Oreochromis niloticus: one gene and its partner. The protein of the gene in region 1 purifies or fractionates together with the protein of each later gene. This does not show direct contact. Links are inferred from orthologs where the notes say so. Each region holds a gene or a part of one and is shown on either strand. Other genes may lie near its edges. The genes, in order: josd2 and ahcyl2b.

Region 1 (9,547 bases):
GAGGAGTGAAAAACTATATTCGATGAAAACTTAGCCGGCTGGCTGATGATCGCCGTTCTTCTTTTCTTCTCTACGTTGACACAGGAACAAAAATACGATCCTCAGTTGAACCTTAAAGCACGTACCAATGAGCGGCATAGTGGTGTGAAACGTCAGAAGAGACAAACCAATCGAAATGCAGCGATAGAGCTGCGTCACGACAAAAAGCCCTATCAGTCACATAGAGTGAAAAGTACATCTGATACACGCCAGCGATAGGTCCATTTAAAAAACTCTCAAATCTAATCGATACTGAAAGATCAGCATCAGCTACATTGAACACCAAAATTAAGAAACGCCCACTGTTTAAACCAGCCTTCCTAATTTATTCAATAGATAAATACTTAACTTGATAAGCGGGATCACTTTTGTTACGTTGTATGATAGGTTTCCTTTAATGTTGGTTAATTAAGTTAACTCTAATCTAACAATAACTGACTAAAATTACACACACAGTTTTTTTCGTATTCGTGTACGACAGAAACGTGCCTGAGCAATACACCACCAAAAATAACAACACAATTAACATTTATTCACCAGACACACTTTTAGGTGACCTACACCTTGTTAGTACTGCTCTGGAGCCATTTTTGCCTTCAGAACTATTTTAAGTCTTCATGACATTCAACAAGGTGCTGGAAACATTCCTCAGAAATTTTGGTTCAGATTGACATGATAGCATCACACAATAGAAGCAGATTTGCTGCACATGGCTGCACATCCATGATGTGAATGTGCCTTTCCACCACAGCCCAAAGGTGCTCTATTAGACTGAGGTAAACTGGCTGTGGAGGCCATTTGAGCACAGTGAACTAATTTTCTTGTTCAAGACTAGGGCTGGGTATTGATAAGATTTTCACGATTCCGATTCCATTTTCGATTCTGTTTAACGATTCGATTCTTTATCGATTCTCTTATCGATTCTTTTTAAAAAAGGAGAACACTAAGGTCGAATAGCTTAGAACTTTGTTTTATATCTTCTCTTTGAACAAGATAGAAATTTAGGAGTAACATGGCCTTACAAAACCAACAGTGAGATCTTAAGAGATCCACAGCCTACGGCTCTTCAATGGGGTGTCACAGGGTCCCCAGGAAAAAAAATTGTTATTGCTACAGAAGAATATTTACTTTATTATTTTACATTTACAAAGTTTAACATAAATTATTCTGTAGCAATTACACAAGAATATCCAGTAATGTCCCTGCCTACAATTAAACACATTCACTTACGGAAAATCGGGGGCATCTGCTGTGGCAAATGGGTGCAAGCCTTTGACCACAAAAGGCTGCTCGGTGACATTCGTCTATCCTGGCCTGAAAGGAGACACTACCGGTAGACTGCAGCGAGAACTGCCAGCATCTGAGCCAGCCAGACTCTGTCTCTCTCATCATGGTCGCCTAAATGCAGCGCACAGTAATGGCAGGTTTTGTAATAAGGCAGATCGCGCTAACATAATATGCACTGTTAGCTGATTATTTACCTGCCGTATTAACGGGAGAGGACGTGCAAACATTACCGCTGCTGCTGGGTTGAGATTCACGAGTCCGGAGCGGAATTAAAAACATGACATTCATTTAAGGTTATCGCGTGTTTTGTGAGCAAACGCTTTTGCATATTCGTAGTGTTTCCTCCCTTAAATTAAATATCTACTTTGCAAGTATTGCAAGTTGCCCTGTTGTCATCCGTTCTCGTAAAGTATAATCAAACTTTTGAGCGTTTGAGCCGCTTAGGCGCCCTGCCAGGTAAATGACGCTCCGCAACGTGGTGACGTCATTCAGGGCGACTGGAATCGATAAGGGAATCGTTTGCAAAAATGGCAAACAATTCCAAGGAATTGAAACAGTGGGAACCGGTTCTCAACAAGAACCGGTTTTCGATACCCATCCCTATTCAAGACACCAGTTTGAGATTATTTGAGGTTTGTGACATGGTGTGTTATCCTGTTGGAAGCAGCCATCAGAAAATATGCACACTGTGGTCATGAGGGGATGGACATAATCACAGGTAGGCTCAGTTGGTACCCAAAATTGGCCAGGAAAATGTCCTCACATTATTACAACACCAGCAGTAACCCTGACCATTGAGACAAGGCAGGATGGATTTGTACTTTCGTGTTTAATGTTTATAGCAGAAAGACTCTGGGCAACATTTTCCCGTATTTGATTGTCCAATCTTTGTGAGCCTGCATTAATTGTAGCCTCAGTTTCCTGTTCTTACCTGGCAGGAGTGGCACCCAGTATGATCTTCTGTAACGGTAGCCCTGTAGCTTTAAGAATGTTGTGCTTTCAGAAATGCTCTTCTGCATGCTTTTGTTAGAATAAGTGGTTTATTTGAGTTGCTATTGCTTTCCTATCTGCTCGAAAAAGTCTGGCTGTTGTCCTCTGACCCCTGACATTTGAGCATTTGAGAACTGTTGATCACTAGATATTTTCTCTGTTTTTGGATCTTCTGTAACCCTACAGATGGTTGTGTGGGAAAATCCCAGTAGATCAGCAGTTTCTGAAATACTCAGACCAGTCTGTCTGACACCACCAATGCATGTTCAATGCCATGTTCAAAGTCACTTAAATCACCCTTCTTCCGCATACTGATGCTCGATCAGACAGGTCATCATGACCAAATCTTGACCTTTTTGCCAAAATTGTCCCACTGTCTATAATCAAGTTTAAAGAGGTGATTCAGTGACTCCAAAACACTGCCATATTTTATGAGATAGATAGATAGATAGTTGTATATAGCATTTGTATTCTATTTTTATCTTATTGTATATTTTATTCTATTTTATTCTACTGTATATAGTATTTTATTTTATTCTATTCTGTACAGTTGTGTACTGTATTTATTCTTATTTTATTTTATTCTAATTTTTGCTTCATAACTTTTGCACTGTCCACTTCCTGCTGTGACAAAACAAATTTCCCACGTGTGGGACTAATAAAGGTTATCTTATCTTATCTTATAGATAGATAGATAGATAGATAGATAGATAGATAGATAGATAGATAGATAGATAGATAGATAGATAGATAGATAGATAGATAGATAGATAGATAGATAGATAGATTTAAATATTTAAGCATAACAAGTCACCTTTACAGTAGTAGGAGTTTATGTAAATAAGTGTAGGAGTCATTTGGGTTGATACCTTATGTATGCCGCTAAAGGTCACTTTTTGAGTTTTTTGTTGTGGAAATAAAGAATCTAAAGGACAAGATGAGTAAGGCTGGAGTTATTGGACTGTATCAAGTTAAATATATTCATGCATACCAGTGACATCCCTGTCATTGAGTACCTCAGTGGCTTCAAGCGTAGGCTTAGCCTCTACAGTAAGACTAAGCTTAGGATTTTGTCACCCTAACAGTTACAGTAATTAACAAATCTATTAGATTACTTGCCATAAAGTCTGTAAAAATATTTCAAAAATCTGTTTAAAACTAAAAATGATTTTGTTATTCTATTAGACACATTAAACAAAATTGATTTTCCTAAACTGGACTTCCATCCAACCATTAAAATTTTTCCTGCACAACTGCAAATAAATACATTTATCTCAATAAAAAATAGACAGATTTAACATTTTTTCTGCAAAAATGTAAATTTGAAAATTTACAGTTTTCACTTTATGGATTTGCTTGCTTCCATTTTAAATTGTTTTAAGTTCTAACTTTCTTTTATAATAGGGAAAATTTTTATTAAGAGCTAATAATAATTTGCTAATAATTTCAGAATACATACATTTTTCGACTCCTTCCTTTAGGGGTCGCCACATCAGATCATCTGCCTCCATTTCACCCTGCCCCTAACATCCTCCTGTGACACACCAACCCTTTGCATGTCCTCCTTCCCTACATCCATGAATCTTCGTGGTGGACTTCCTTTTTTCCTCCTGCCTGGCAGCTGCACATTCAATATCCTTTGTCCAATACATCCACCATCCTTCCACAGCACATCCCCGAACCATTTGAGCCTTCCCTCTCCAGCTCAGCCTCCTGTCTCTTTGTCAGTAGCACCGTCTCCAAACCAGACATGACAGCAGGTGTCACAACTATCTTGTAAGCCTTTTTTTTTTTACTCTTGCTGCTATCCTTCTGTCACAAATCACCCCCCACACTCATCTCCACCACTGTCTGTTCTTAACCTCTCTTATGCACTGTTTGTTGTCTTGGATGTGACCCCAGGTATTTAAACTCATCCAACGTTGCAACCTCTGCTCCTTGAAACTTTACCTTTTCACCTCTCTAGTCTAGTTTAGTCATACTTCTACTGACTTTCTTCAGCTCTTCAACCTACTCCTGGTTCTTACTACAAATCACAATGTCGTCTGCAAACATCATTGTCCACTATTTCAGAATAGAATAAGGCAGTCATGTAGAAATCTCAAGTCTCACCATACAATGCATCAAAGCCTTAGTCAGGCAGGCTTTGAAAACAACATTTCCTACATATTTTCATGTATTTATTTATTTCGTTTATTTCAGTTTGGTGGTTGTACAACTTAATTTCATTTAGTTATCTTTTTCCTAGAATATAGTTGTTGTTGTTTTTTCGAGTCCGGATATGTACTTTTAGTTTTTAGTTGAGGCTTAGCTCACTTCATTAACTTCAGTCAGTATCACCGCAGTCAGCAGTAACCAGGCTCGTCACTAGGGGGCGCTTCAACATCAGCTCAGTGATTAGACGCGGGGAAGAAGTGTGTGTGTGTGACACCATTGGTGAGTTGAAGATGAGTTAATCCTGTCATTATTATTACTTTCCTCTATTCAGCATAATTAAACTGTTAAAGTGGCGGGGTTTCCAGCCCTGCTGTGAAGGACGCATACGGACGACAAAAAAAACCCCCAACACCATCTCAACAACAAAGGCTCAGCTTCCGGTTTCTGGATGTAGCTGTCAGGCTCCACCACCATTTAAACGGGGCATCGCTTTATCAGCAGGTCGGTAGCTTCGTTTAGCTATTGTTGATTAATAATAGTTTATCAGGATGTTTTTCCAAACTGCCAGCAGTCATAAACACAGAGTATACTCAGTTTTTTCAGCTTCTTTTACAGCGAGCAGCCGCTAGCCTGAATGGGCTACAAACTGCTAGCTAGCAGATGTAATATGACCGTTAATTAACGAGACTTCTCGTTTGTCTGTGAAGCTTTAGTATGAGCGAAGGAGAGGTGTTTCATGAGAAGCAACGATTGGAGCTGTGCGCAATTCACGCACTCAACAACGTGCTCCAGGAGCGGGTGTTTACCAAAGAGACAGCCGACGATATCTGCAAAAGGTAGGGCAGCCTCTGGGTGACGTGACGGTGTACGGAAATCTGTACACAAACCAGCGAGAGCATTCAAACGATCCATCTGCTAAACTTGCCAATGATCTGACCAGTTTATAACCCCAACATTCCAGACAATACTTCATAATTTGTTTACACTGTGAATACACTGCTATTTTTCTGCAATGCAGCAGCTGCTTTTATCTTCTAAGGCGTGTGTGAGATGCTGAACATGACTGGTTTTCATGTTGAGCTTCAGTTATGGCAGTGCCGAGCAAGGCTTTTACTGGGAACTCCAAGACTCAAGCAGAAATTACTGAATTCCCTCATTCAGCCATCATGTCTTCCATCTAAAAGTGAAAAATGCCAAACATTTATTCTTACCAAAAGCTTTAATGTGATCAGGAGTGTGTGGGTGTTGTTTTTTTTTGCACTCACTGTTAGGAAAATTTAACATTAAGTTTTTGTGGGGAAAGAGCAGTGGTGCTGTCCGTGTAGCAGAAACCATTGTTTTTCAGCGAGGCTGCGCTGTACGTCAGCAGCCATTAGCTTAATTGAACATGAGGCCAGATGAGTCATGATCTCTGTGGCTTTTGACAAACAACATTTATTTGAATGCAGAGCAGCTCAACCCCAACCCCACAAAAACACAGCTTTTTCATATCGCTGTGGTTGTTTGGGGACAACAGTTATGCATTGTGATGATATTTATATGCAAGAAAGTAAAAAAAAATCTAAACAGTTTTGTAAAGAAGATGCAGTATAACATTTGTTTTTTTTAAAACTGTATTTCTCTGCCTTTTTTCTCTCGTGGCAGGCTGGCTCCACAGTGTGTCGTGAACCCACATCGGTCAGTGTTAGGGACGGGAAACTATGATGTCAACGTCATCATGGCGGCACTACAGAGCCGGGAGTTGGCTGCGGTGTGGTGGGACAAACGCAGGTAAGTGAGTCACACTGAAGTCTGTGAAATGAGAAAGTAATTTTGTGGAGCGGTCCCGCCTCTGCGCTCGTAATGTCGGTGTTAAATTTAAAATTTACTTTTTCATTTACACTGTGTCTCCGGGCTGTTTGTTCTACCTTAGCTTTTTTTAAGCCATACCTATACAGCTGGTTGTTAATAAAAATATCCAATTAGACAATTACATGGAAGCAACTCAGTTCGTTTAGGAATTTAGGCACCAAAACACAGTCAGGATGACCTGCTAAAGTTTAAACTGAGCATCAGAATGGGGAAGAAAGATGATTTAAAGTGATTTTAAACGTGGCATGGTTGTTGGTGCCAGATGGACCGGTCTGTTTATTTCAGAAACTGCTGATCTTCTGGGATTTTCCCAAGAAAACACCTCCAGGGCAGAACACCATTTCTAAATGTGCAACATATCAAACCTTGAAGCAGATGGGATACAGTATCAGAACACTAGACCGGGGCCCACTCAGGGAACCGAGATTACAACCAACCAACCCAGTGTTAGCAAGGTGTACCTAATAAAGTGGCTGGGACTGTATACTGCAAGGGGATCCAGAATATTGAGATCAGCTCTTAGTGCCAGGCTGTTGTAATAAAAGGAAAAGGGAATCCTTTAGACTATTTTTAGACACAGATGGGTTTTTTTCCCCTTAAAACAACGTATCTTAATTTTAAACCACTTGCGATGTAACCCTAAGGCGTTGTTGGATTACACATAAAAAGCATATTGGCAGTCTTACCAAACCACAGCTACATGTGAAAATGAACTTTGTGCTTTGATAGATTTACGGACTCAGTAAGTGCTTCAGAAGTAGGCTAGCCGGGTCGAGGTCATTCATAATGAAAAATGCCCTGAGAGGCACTGAGTGTAATAACTGGTTAAGTAAGACTATCTCAAAGTGGGTGATTTAGTGCTTTCTTTCTCCCCTCTTTCAAACTGCAGGGAAGTTGAGAACCTCTGTATGTCAAAGGTCCAAGGCTTTATTCTGAATGTCCCATCACGAGTATCTTTGGGGATTGTATCCCTCCCGCTCCGACGGCGGCATTGGCTCGCAGTTCGGCAAGTTAGCGGACAGTACTACAACCTGGACTCTAAGCTGAAGAGTCCGGTCTGCATCGGCGGAGAAGCAGAGCTACGGTAAGAATTGTGCACGTATACGTCCAGTGTTTCCCAGAGTCTCAGGAGCAGAGGTGTAATCTCTGTGTGAGTGATTCTGCTCTGACTTCGATCTAAACTTGGCTTTTGTGTGCTGTTTGAACTCACTGAGTGAGTCATACCATATGACTGGTCACATGGGAGTGGGGGTTACCTCATTGTTTGTTTTGTGTTAGGACACTGTGCTCTATTAACATCCCCACTGTCTTGTGTTCTAATAAACTTCTCTCTCTTCGCTTCTGTTTCAGCACATTTCTCACTGAACAGCTTTCTCAGGACGTGGCAGAGATGCTGCTCGTTGTCCGACGGGAGGTGGAGGAGGACGGCTCGTGGCTGAACGCTGACAGCAAGAAGTGATGCCTTGGGACAGAACATAACTTTGCAAAGCGTGGGGGAAAAAACCCTCCTCTGGGGAAATGACAGACATTTTGAAAGAGAGAAACAAACACCTTGTTCAAAAAATATCTTCAGGGAATGCACTAAAATACATTTAATATCTACACAAACACACAAATTCCAAAGAGAAGTAGAGGTGGGCGTTTAATCCTGAAATGAAGAACTGCTTGATTGTAACGGCTTAAAAAAGAAAACCATTGCTCTGGTATGACCCATCTATCTGCAACGTCAACTGTACTCTTGTACTTTTTGTTTTAACTCTTTGAGTTGAAAAGTTGCAGGTTAGAGGCAAATGTGGGCTAGTTTATGGCACTTTTGTTGTGACCTGATTCTGAAATGTTACTGTGTTTTTTGGTAACTGGATAAATTTGATTACTTAAAATGCTATTAGGATGAATTCGCCACTTAGGATACTGTTGTCTTATATCCAGTTTGTTATGTGCTACGTGTGCTATGGTTATGCCAGAATGTGTTGATTGTGAAGGAGCGCCATCTCTTCCTTCACTTTTGTTATTAACCTTCTATGCACTGCAACGTTTGAGTTGTTTGCACTGTTTGTCTTTGTTAGCACTCATGCAGGCACAGGAGCCTTGAATGCATTGCCTTAAAGAGGCACCGGAAGACTGCACCAGTGTCTTTGCATGTGTTCATCCATTTACTTGACTTCTTGCGTTCTTTTTAGTCTAGTTACACAGTTGTGGTCAGAAGTTTACACGCACTCATCGTGGGCACGAATGTTATGATAATTTGGGGCTTTTAATGAATTCTTTGAACTTTTTTTTTTTCCCAGGGTGGAATGATTGTACAGCATACGTCTTTAATGACTTTTAAAAACAAGAATTGGCTGTGCAACTTTGAAACTGGATTTTCTCTAAACCACACAGGGTTAAATATCTGCATACACCCACACTAATATTTGGTTAAATTTCCCCTGGCACGTTGCACCTCAGCCAGACTCTTTTGGAAGCTTCTGCCTGAATCGTTGACCACTCATCTTGGCAGATATGATGGAGTTAATTTAAATCAGGCACAGAGACAGCGTTTAAGCATAGTCCATAACTTTTCAGTAGGTTTTGGGAAGGCCTTTCCATTAATGGATGTAAACCTCTGACCACAGCTGTGTTATAGTTGTGTGGTAAAGTTGTACAAGCCACACAGTAAAGAAGCTCCCTCAGTCCATTTTTCTTCTGTTTATCCAGTTCAAGGTCGGGGCAGTTAGGGTGGTTGGGGGGGCTGGAGCCAATCCCAACTGTCACAGGGTGAGAGGCAGGGTACACCTTGGCCATGTTGCCAGTATGTCACATGGCCAACACAGAGAAACGCAACCATTTACACTGACAGTAAATTTGGAGTCAAATAACTTAACCCTGTGCATGTTTTTGGACTTTGTGGGGAAGCCACAGGACCCAGGGAGACGATGTGAAGAGTTAGTGAGTGAATCCAGGTTTGGGGTACGGAGCAGTGTTAAGTTCACTAATTTTGAAACATGCAAAAACACTGGACACGTGACTGTATGTAGGCGCTACACTTGTTTTGTCTCCCCTAGTGATCTATGCATATCTGAAAGAATATGAGCGCTGTCTCTGATACACACTAGTGAATAACTTACACATAAACTTAAGCTCAGAGGTGAATAATATTTAAATTTATTTATATTAAACATTGACCTTTTGTTTTAAGTACAAGTCTCTTGCAAAGCGTGCTCTGTGTGTGTGTTTTTTCTTG
Region 2 (9,871 bases), on another chromosome or scaffold:
CAAGATGCTCATATTAAACATGCGCAAACTTTCAGATAATGAGGTCAAGGTGTGTTCAAGTGACCACAGGCTTCAGACTGCTCTAAACATTAAGGGTCAGATTGTGTTTCAACAACCGGCTCAGTATGAAGTCAGAGAGATAGCTGTGAGCACATCAGCCCTACCTTCAAACCTTCTGTTTTGGAGGGACAGCCAATCAGAAGAAAGTTGGCAAACTAATGGGCTGCACCATGGCCCAGTATAAGATAAATAAGGATTATTTTGAACTTCGACTCATTCTACTAGAGTCCAAAAAGAATAGAGTTGGCAATGAGCTCAATACAGTCTAGCCAGTATATCAGTGGGGCCCATGTATTGGCTGATATTAGCTCCTTACCGATAGATTGGTACTGGTATTTATAACAGTCAAAATATTAAAATTAAAGTAATAAAGTAGATGTGAGAAAGATGTATGTGTGTGTGTGTGTGTGTGTGTGTGTGTGTGTGTGTGTGTGTGTGTGTGTGTGTGTGTGTGTGTGTGTAGTGCGCCACAAACACAACCAGCAGAGTCAACAGAGCATATTGTAATCCATGACTCATGACAATAAAACTGCATTGTTATGTTAACTTAATAATGACTCATAAATAACACGCACAACAAAATGTTAGGGAAATCTGTTTGTTTTTGTATGTTTAAAAAAAACAAACAAACAAATTGTCCGATATTGGATAGTTAAATAACTAAATCTGTCAGGGTCTACAAGTTTATCTGAAGAGGGGACTTGAATAAATATATTTATTCCTATAATCTATTTGAAGAATACACAAGTAGGGTTAGGACATAATAATTCAACTTCAATCCCTTAGGAAGTGCATGTGATCACCACAATGCAGGCACTCCCCCACACACAGACCAGCTCAGTTGCCGAGGTGACTCACCAATGAGAGGGGCGCAGGGGAAGGACAGTGACACATTCTCCTTTGTAGCTGAGAACAGCCACGGGGAGATGAAGATCAATGTGCTTGCATGAGGATGACCACGCTGAGAAACCACAGAGCAGCCACCTCATATCCTTCACGAGATGACTTGGAACAATCACAAGAGCATGGAAGGAACTAATGAACAAACAGGCTGCACAATCTTTAGCTCAGCCGGCTTCAGCACATAGTACTAGCTCCCTGCTTCATCTCACCATATTGACACCTGTATGAAACTGATCAAAACAATTGTGCCTTTTACAGAGCAAGCTGGTGTAAATATAGTTACAGTTAATGATGAGTGGCATTAGAGTGGAAACTTGTAGCACCATCGACACGTGGCAACAACAACTTAGGCTGATTTTTGACTTTGTGAAACACAACCCCACCTTCAAAATTGTTTTCGTCCTGAGCAGAGCAGCCACAGGTCACTAAGCTTGTTACCAGTGAGCACTACCAGGAACATCAGCTTAGTAGGTGACATAACATTACAACAGAGAGGAATGATCCTGCTGTTCTGTGAAGTCATTTAATAACATCACTATGCATGCTTCCCATAAACCTGTTAGGAAGTGCAATCCCTGCCAAATCAGGCAGGTGACACTACTGACCAAGTACGCAGCTAGAAAAATGTCTGCCTGCCGTATGAGTCTCGCACAGCAAACGCGATAGCAGCTAGGCCCGCTTCTTGAAGTACTCCGCAGCTGGAGCCTTCACCCAGAACTTCCCAGAGGCTGGAGATATTCAAGCCGAGCTGGACGGGTTACAATCACACTCATCACTGACTCAGAAAGCTTACATCTGGGCTCACCTACAACAGCGAGCTGGCCTTTTAATCCCCTCATGTGGTGACATGATAGAGGCAAGGATTAAAAGCCAGCCAGCCATCCAGTCAGTCAGTCAACACCGCTGCCCTGCCTGGCTGCGTACTTGCATCATCGTCCCCAGTGCTTCACTTAGCCTTTACTGCAACTGGGGAAGCACAGTTCAGCAGATGCTCGAGGCCAGTCTGTGGTCATATAAATCTATAATGCAGTACCATTATTCCTGCTATACTTCATCATCTATAAATAGGCTGCAGGCAACCTTCTGTGAATAAACACAAATACTGAAAAACAGTTGATCAGACAAATACAGTTCCAACACACTGCTTAAATTTACATAACAGGCAGACTTCAGCCCTAAAAGTGTTCAGAGTGGCGTTCATCCTCAACTCAAGCTTTCTGGACTCTCTGCATCCCATGAACTTGAAACAAGACAACACACTTGCAATGAAAATTCAAAGACAGACATACATTTTAATCACACAAACTAAGCCATAACAATAGGATATAAAGATCAACATATAATGATCAGATGTTTAATAGAGTGACTGCACTGATATTTGAAGGAAATATTGATAAAGAGTTAACAAGTGTGACTACAATGTTTACTTTCAAAGTAAAAAAGCACTATTTTAAGTAAATTTTCACAACTACTTTTCCCCTTAATCAACAGTCTGTACCTTGCACCTGCATTCAAACTTGGCCTCCCCAGTAGCACAGATGTGGCTGTTGCTTTCCCATAGCTCTGGCTGCGCTTCCCCCTGCAAGCCCGGTGTTTCCGACTGCTCATTCTCTTCTACATGCCGGCTCGCTTTGACAGTCTGAGGTACTTGAAGCCATCTGCTCTGTGCTGCTGTTGGTGTGCACTCCATTCTCTCCCTGTACTACCAAACATTTGGCTAAAAGGTCTTTAAGCTGGGTTTCCTTGGGGTTTGGTTTAATGGGATAGGATCACTGACGTAGTATATGGTGTGGGTGGGGAGTGCATCCCACCCGACTTGTCCTTTCACCGGGTTTCACCCAATTTCGAGGCTTTCTGAAGCCAAAACACACTAAAGTGGCATGTGTATTAGTGCAACAGCTGACCACTACTGATAAAGTGCACTACAGAGATAACAGGATATGCAACTGTTAATAAAGCTCCTGCAATCATTTTCTTATCAAATAAAAAATGTCCTTTCCTTGAACGTTGCCCTTCTTCTGTCCTAAAAAAGACCTTGTAAGGAGCAGAGCGATAAGACAACCACAGCTAAACCGTGCCTAAATCCCACTACGGTATCAATTTTAGGTGTTACAGACTCAAAGAGGTTTGTTTGTTTTTTTTAAACCAGGTCACAGGGGTCACACATCGCTGACTACTGTTACAGCCTAGTTAGACCACACATCTGCATTAACTGCAGAACTGCATAAATTTGACTAAACTAAAACGGCATGTCTGTTTTACAGGCAGTGAACTGTGAATAGTTTTAACATAATAATCTGAGGTCAAGCAAGGGTCATGAAGTGCCACAGAGGGACAACCCAAGTGTCAAAAATCAGAGCTTCTTCAAAAACAAGAAAGGTGTGTGCCACAATTAAACTCTGACTGAAAACACTATATCCGAAAAATGGAAGCAACTGATTTAAGCGAATAACTGCACTTAGTATGGTCTGTGTTTTGCGTTTGTCACGTTGATGTTTAAGATAATGTGACACAGATATACACAAACCTACAAAAGCATGTGGGACCTCATGCTATGAGAGAGCTTTTAAATACCCAATATCAGCACAACTTGTGAGAACAGTTGGATACTGTCGCCCACCTCCGGAGTCCTAAATATTTCACTTAAATGTCAGCCTTCGTGAAAACGGGTATGAGAAAAAGAATAACATTCCTTCCCTTGTGTTATAAGCAGTGAAAAGCATAATTTAAACCGTTAACGGCCACCGCCGATTCAGCTTTGGTGCCAGCTAGCCTGTTAGCATCGTCACACAATGCCAGCTTTCCCAGCAAGCTCGCTCTGCGGCGAGGTCCTTAGTGGTGGTCCAGCAACAGCGAGCATATGCAAAAGCACTTATGTGGAGGGGAGAAAAATGCCGCCTGGCTTACCTTTTTCATGCGAGGAGCCTCGGCAACGGTTCCGTCCCGGTTGACAAACGCCTCCCCGCCGTTCTGCTGCGGGTCCGAACGTTTCATAGACGACGCTTGAGGCATCTTCGCCGGGTTTGGGGTGAGCAAGCCCGTGCCTCCTTCCCCGGCTTTCGCGGAAGGCTCCGCGGTAGGGGACGCGGCAGCCGCGGAACCGGCCTCGTGCGGGTCGTTTCTGGGGAGGTTCTTGCCCTCCGACGTGGGTGTCACCGGGGATTCAGCCGGCAGGTCTTTGCCGGTGGGGACGTCTTTGAGTTCGACCTCTGCCATTTTCGCTGCCACAACCTGGACTGACATCGCTGCAGTTTCTCAAAGTCCTTTTTCCAGCACGGATAGCGAGTCAAGCGGATGTGAGCGGAGGAGCCACGAAGGCCAAATGCATTATGGCTCTTGTAGTTCCACTAAGTAGCTCAATGCCCCACAGGACACCTCTCACACCAGTTATTCGTACATGAATGACTTTTTATTGGACGTCAATACATGCAGCAAAAGAACAGTATCGTTACCTGTTATTATAATACATTTAAAATAGCTAAAAAGAGAGTCCTAATAGAAATTGAGACTACATTTCCCAATAGAGATAGCCGGGTTGTTAAATACACTCTGGGAAATGCAGTTTTTTTTTATAAAAGAGGACGACAATAAACTACATAACAAACGTGAGCTTTGCAGATAATGCGGTTTCAAAAGAAATCTCATAAAATGCACACTTAGATCTTTTTTGTGGAAAATAATCAATTTTCTTTCTGAAAAAAAATAATATTTACAACGTAGTAAATCCACTTATGTCAAAGTAAGCAGGAGCAGGCTGTGCTATTACACTCTGTGTGTAGCGGAGTGCTCATCAACACTCTAGTCAATATACTGCATCACATCATGCGGTGGTACATACATAAGACGGGTACAAGAGGAAGGTCAAATCACAAATAAGGAGCTGCACTGCCACCAAGTGGATGCCTAAGATATATTTTTTTTTTAAATCCCAAGCATATTGCGTACAGTTCAAGGAAATGAGGAAACAAGTGGTTTTTTATTATTAATATTTCAATTTAATTTCCAAGTCTCATGTGACACTTGTAAAACAGCGTTATCGGAAACAAACAAACATGTAGAAGGTGGTATAAAATCTAAGGAAAAAAAAATATTCACAGAAACAGACGTTGGTGACTTGAAGGCTTTTCATCTCTCTATCACATATAGTTTGACTGTTGTACATATATGTGCAGCATTTCAGTAGCTGTACATATATATGTACAACTGCTTTCAGCATAGCTGCACTATCCACTGGTCTTTTTTTCTCCTCCCCAGTAATTCAAGCGCATGCCAGGAATAATCTGATTATTGCATTCTAAACTACAACAGGACGGGGGGGGGGGGAGCGACAAAAGGTTGCTATTTACATTCAAGCTGATGGGTCTGAGCCCTTGCTGTCCACCAGATAAATCTGAGGTATATTATTTACAAGGCTGCCATGCGGGTACATTCTTAAAGTACAAAATCAGAAACCCCAAACACTGTTAAAAAATACAGCTCTTTGTTGTATCATAAGCACTCTGGTGAAAAAGAAACATGTCCCTAAAAATGCAAACGAAAACACAGCAGGCTGTCAATCATGAAAATGTTCAGAGAACATGCATCTACTCTAACTGAAGTCTTGTGTGCTGTGTGTTTTTTGGGGCTTTTTTGCTCATGTGCACCAGAAAGGGGACACACGTGTCCTCAAATCCACTTGGAGCTCCTTGTCACTTAATATTTGAGGATGACGCCTCAGTCCTCAAATATCCACAGGATGTTCACACCTGAGAGGCCCAGATTCACTCTCCTGAGGAGAATATGAGAACAATTTAACCACAGTGCACAAGACAAGGTCAAAGTAGTCACTATAAAAAATAAATAAAAATAAAAGTCAATATTAAATCTGCACTTTAGTGCATCACTTCTATCGGGAAAATGAATCAATATTTCATGATTCTTTCTAATGGCTCTATTCATGTTGGAGATTAAAATCCAACTAGTTTTGAAAAAAGAGAAAAACTCACCCCAGCATCCCTGACTCCTTGGTCTTAATAACATAGAGGAACATGAGGATTGTGTGGAACAGGTTGTTCCTCCCCTGTAACCGAAATCAACATAGGTTCACATCAGCACAATAAAGTGTTACAAACAAGCAAGAAAACCTCAACTGTTACTGAACGATACGCCTGTTACATGCTGGCTCTTTCTCTAGGACGAGGAAGGCCCATGGATTTAATGTAAGTAACAAGAATTATTCTTTTATGAATAAAACATGGGTTTTTGATTTGCAAATAATTTTATTAAGCATCCCAGCATTTGTGATAATGGGGTTAGTATTTTAAGTTATCCTCCATGAAAGAGATTGTAATGTTTCCCTGGGAAAACAGAGGAATATGTAACAACTGAAAAATTATTGGCTACATTGTAGGCAGTGTTTAAATTAACAAATGGCCAACAATTTTACAACTGGTGCATTCCTAAAAAAAAGAGAAGAAAATAAAAAGGAGTGAGAACCTTGGGAAGACTGTAGACATGTCCTTGGTAGATGAGCTGGTAGTGAGGAGGAGTGGTGCTGCTTTGATGAATGCAGAAGAGGTTCTCCTTGGTAACATCTATGAGTTAATACAAAAAGGTTACACAAAAGAAAAAAAAAGCAATGCTGGATTTCAAGGAGGATCAAACAGTGGCCATCTTAAGTCTTTAAGTACTATTCTTTAAATCTTATCTAATGGTGCGCTCACCAGGTTTGTCTGGGGTGTGGCTAAAATGTTGAGAAGTGAAAGTCTTCCCATCGGGGTACTTTGGGTGCGGAGGCAGCCTGGAGTCCAGGTATGTACAAAACACATGCATGAGGATCTGAGAAGACAGACACGTGGTTATTGTGACACAACTGAGCCACAGCGTGTGCAGTAAAAGACCAAGGTTGCTTTGATCTGACGAGTAGAACAATTACGGTAATTATTCCACCCTTTGCTACTGACATTTACTTTTTAGCTCATTCACACCCCGTCCTTGTCCTTTAGAAGCATTAAAAAAAAAAAAAAGTCATTTATATGATGAGAACTCAACACTGGTGCAATTTAAACACATTTTGAGTATACTCACATGTGACATTTATTAAATGCACATAAATAAATAAATAAATAAATACATACATACATACATACATACAAGAGCTAGTATTTTATACTCAAGATATGGAGATCTCTGTTGGTCCTGCTATCCTGATCTGCGTGATGCTCTTGTTGGGTTTGCAATAAACTGCATTTTAAGACTAATTGCTGCTCATTATGTCTGTGTGGATATCGCTGGGTGTGGTTATGTACACTCACAGCACAGTCAGTAGGAAGGTCTGTATCCCATTTCCTGTTCTTCAGGTCACCACCACCGTTCCAGCGAAAGGAGCTCATACAACCGCTGTGAGCCAGCTCTGACACAAAGAAGAAATAAAACACACAGCACATATGCAGTGAAGTCCAATCACAGGTCCACAGTGTTCATTTTTCATGGCTGAACATAACACAATTTATTTAGTTTGATGCAGGTATACAGGACTTTTAAAAAAAAATAAATTAATGCCTATATGCTTTAATATTAAACGCACCCTTTATCCGGTCCACTAGATACTCCTGGTTGGGTGTGATATCCAAGTATTGGACAATAGAGTTCAAAGTAGGGATGGAAGAGGCTTTGGTCACTGCTGCCTGTTTCAGACTGCTTATGCTGGCCTCTGGTGGAGAAAAAAAAATGAAAAAGTAAAGTAGCTGGCATAACAGTGCCTACAGAGTGTCCATTTCAATTGATTTGGAAATGTTTTGAGGCATCTCCTTACTACTCATCAGTCAATAGCAGATTTTAGAAGTTTACCTCCTATCTGGAGCTCTGGGCAGCCCATTCTCCTGAGCAGGCTATTAACCGAATCTATTTCTTTGACCAAGGGGACCAAGATAGTATCACTGATCCACTGCAGACACAAATAAAAAAAATTTTTTAATTCATATCAAATATTTATGGACACCTGGAATTCATTAGATATATAGATAATCAAGTGAAGCCCTACTCACATTTCTAAGCTTGGCTGTCCAGCCATCAATGCGATCCAACACTGGGCGACTGGTTGTGATTCTCGCCCACACCTACGTATCAGAAAGGAGATAGAAAAACATTTCCAAAAGAGACAACTATAGTTTAAAGGAAAAAACAAAACGGCTAATCTTTCAACCGATAGCAGCACAAATACCGACACACAGACCTCCTCTGCAGCCTGTTTGGAGCCCAGGTCCGTCTCGTCCTTGTGGGCAGAAGGCGCCTGAGAGCGGCATGCAGGCTGGTAGAGGAACTTCCTGAGGCTCTGTGCATAATCTCCCACCGAACGGTTGTAGTTCCAAAACGTAGGACTGTGGCTTGGAGACACAGACTCTGGACTTCCTACACAGGGAATGACGCCATCATGACATCAGAAGTGACCTACTATGTTAGAATGGGCGATGCTTATGCTAACCATAGCCAAAGTTTCAAATAATGAGGATTTTCCACTCTTGGATCTGTACAATGTCCAAGAGAGGGGCTATGCTTCAAGGCTGTAGTTCAAAACTTGCTTGTGAGCATAAACCCAACTGCCTAATTGTATTCATTCATTCACGCTTTAAAAAGTGTGAATGAAACCTACAATTCCCTCTGTGATCTACTCTACTTTTATCTCCAATTCAGTTTAGCTACCTACCAAGCTGGCTCCGGTGACTCCTTTCCTCCTCTGTTCGCAGGAACCTCTCCAGACTTTTCAGATCCTCCATGTAGTCCTCCTTGCTTCCAGGGGAGTTAAACACGGAGGGAGGTGTGCGGTAGCGAGCCCTCAAGCTGGAGCCTTCTGCTGACCCAATTGTAGTGGGATAAGGAGTGGAGCCAGAGGGTGGACTGTAGTTCAGCACCTGAAACAAGGAAAATCGTTAATGGAAAGGAAATGGAGTTATAGTCAGTCATATTCAGTTTTCTTTTTTTCTCATGTACTCATGTCACTCCTGGTTAAAAGTACCTTTCCAAAGGACACAGAAGGGGAAAAGGGGCCTCCTGCACTGTTTGTTGGGGATGGGTTGCTGAGTGTGGGGCTATATCCAGGAACACAGCTGGGGGAGAACTTGGGGCTGCTGGAGGCTGTACGAGAGGGACTAAAGCTGAGCACGCTCTGGCCCTGCAGAGGAGATGACTGGGCTGGAGCCGGAGCTTCCTTCTTTTCTGGCTTTTGGGGTGGAGATGCCTGAATACCTGCAAAACAAAAAAACCCCAACTCTGGCTCATATGTTGATCTAAAGATTGGGGGGGGCTTCCTTTCTGCTACTTTATTTGCCACAAAGGGTCTTGAACATAGCAAGAATTGGACACAAGCTGTGGAAAAATATAAACCATAAATTTGCGCCTCACTTGTGTTTCTCAGACCCAGAAGGTGATGCTGCTCAGGGCTTACAGCAATGGTGGATGGAGCCATTGTGTATTTGAAATACTTCCAGAAGTCATAAAGAGCATTGAGGCTAAAAAGGGAGGCAAGCACCAATTCTGTAAAAGAAAAAAACAAAATAAAACACTGTAGCAGAGTGTGAACACGCAGATGGCAAATTAAAAGACATTTCCCTGTATTCTTGGCACAATGCTTTTTAGCATTATATATAGTACTGTGCAAGATTCCCCTCATTTCTTCATATTTTGCTAGGAAAATAGGTGCAATAATCCATTAAGCATGTGCAAACGAATTGAAATACAGTGTGAAAAACAAGTCTCTCAAGATACAATTTAAAGTTGTTGTCAAAGCAGCCAATGTCCAAAGAAAAACTGAAGGAATTTCAGAAAGTCAGGACAACTATAGCAAGAACACATAACCTTACAAGAAAGTCTGGTTGGTTGGAAGCAAAACATGAAGAAGTGAAGCGTGACTCAAGACTTTTCTACATTGTAA

Evidence for each region.
Region 2: the proteins of josd2 (region 1) and ahcyl2b purify together in Homo sapiens (affinity purification with mass spectrometry; 3 studies listed by BioGRID and IntAct, counting the BioPlex papers as one, with this or other methods). This does not show direct contact. The link is inferred for Oreochromis niloticus from reciprocal best matches to the Homo sapiens genes JOSD2 and AHCYL2.

The regions. Positions count from the first base shown.
Region 1 is NC_031976.2:22,309,896-22,319,442, reverse strand, and holds josd2 (josephin-2), read left to right. Parts: upstream 1-4,649; 5' UTR 4,650-4,752; intron 4,753-4,823; exon of another isoform or gene 4,824-4,838; 5' UTR 4,839-4,974; intron 4,975-5,180; 5' UTR 5,181-5,187; coding exon 5,188-5,309; intron 5,310-6,117; coding exon 6,118-6,243; intron 6,244-7,213; coding exon 7,214-7,408; intron 7,409-7,674; coding exon 7,675-7,783; 3' UTR 7,784-9,246; downstream 9,247-9,547. UniProt on the Homo sapiens protein: Cleaves 'Lys-63'-linked poly-ubiquitin chains, and with lesser efficiency 'Lys-48'-linked poly-ubiquitin chains (in vitro). May act as a deubiquitinating enzyme.
Region 2 is NC_031981.2:6,673,843-6,683,713, reverse strand, and holds the start of ahcyl2b (adenosylhomocysteinase like 2b), read right to left. Parts: upstream 4,296-9,871; 5' UTR 4,207-4,295; coding exon 3,871-4,206; intron 2,669-3,870; exon of another isoform or gene 2,654-2,668; coding exon of another isoform or gene 2,462-2,653; intron 1-2,461. Other genes in the region: tmem209 (transmembrane protein 209), read right to left, coding at 5,677-5,731, 5,949-6,022, 6,439-6,536, 6,666-6,780, 7,257-7,354, 7,529-7,654, 7,792-7,888, 7,989-8,060 and 4 more. UniProt on the Homo sapiens protein: May regulate the electrogenic sodium/bicarbonate cotransporter SLC4A4 activity and Mg(2+)-sensitivity. On the contrary of its homolog AHCYL1, does not regulate ITPR1 sensitivity to inositol 1,4,5-trisphosphate.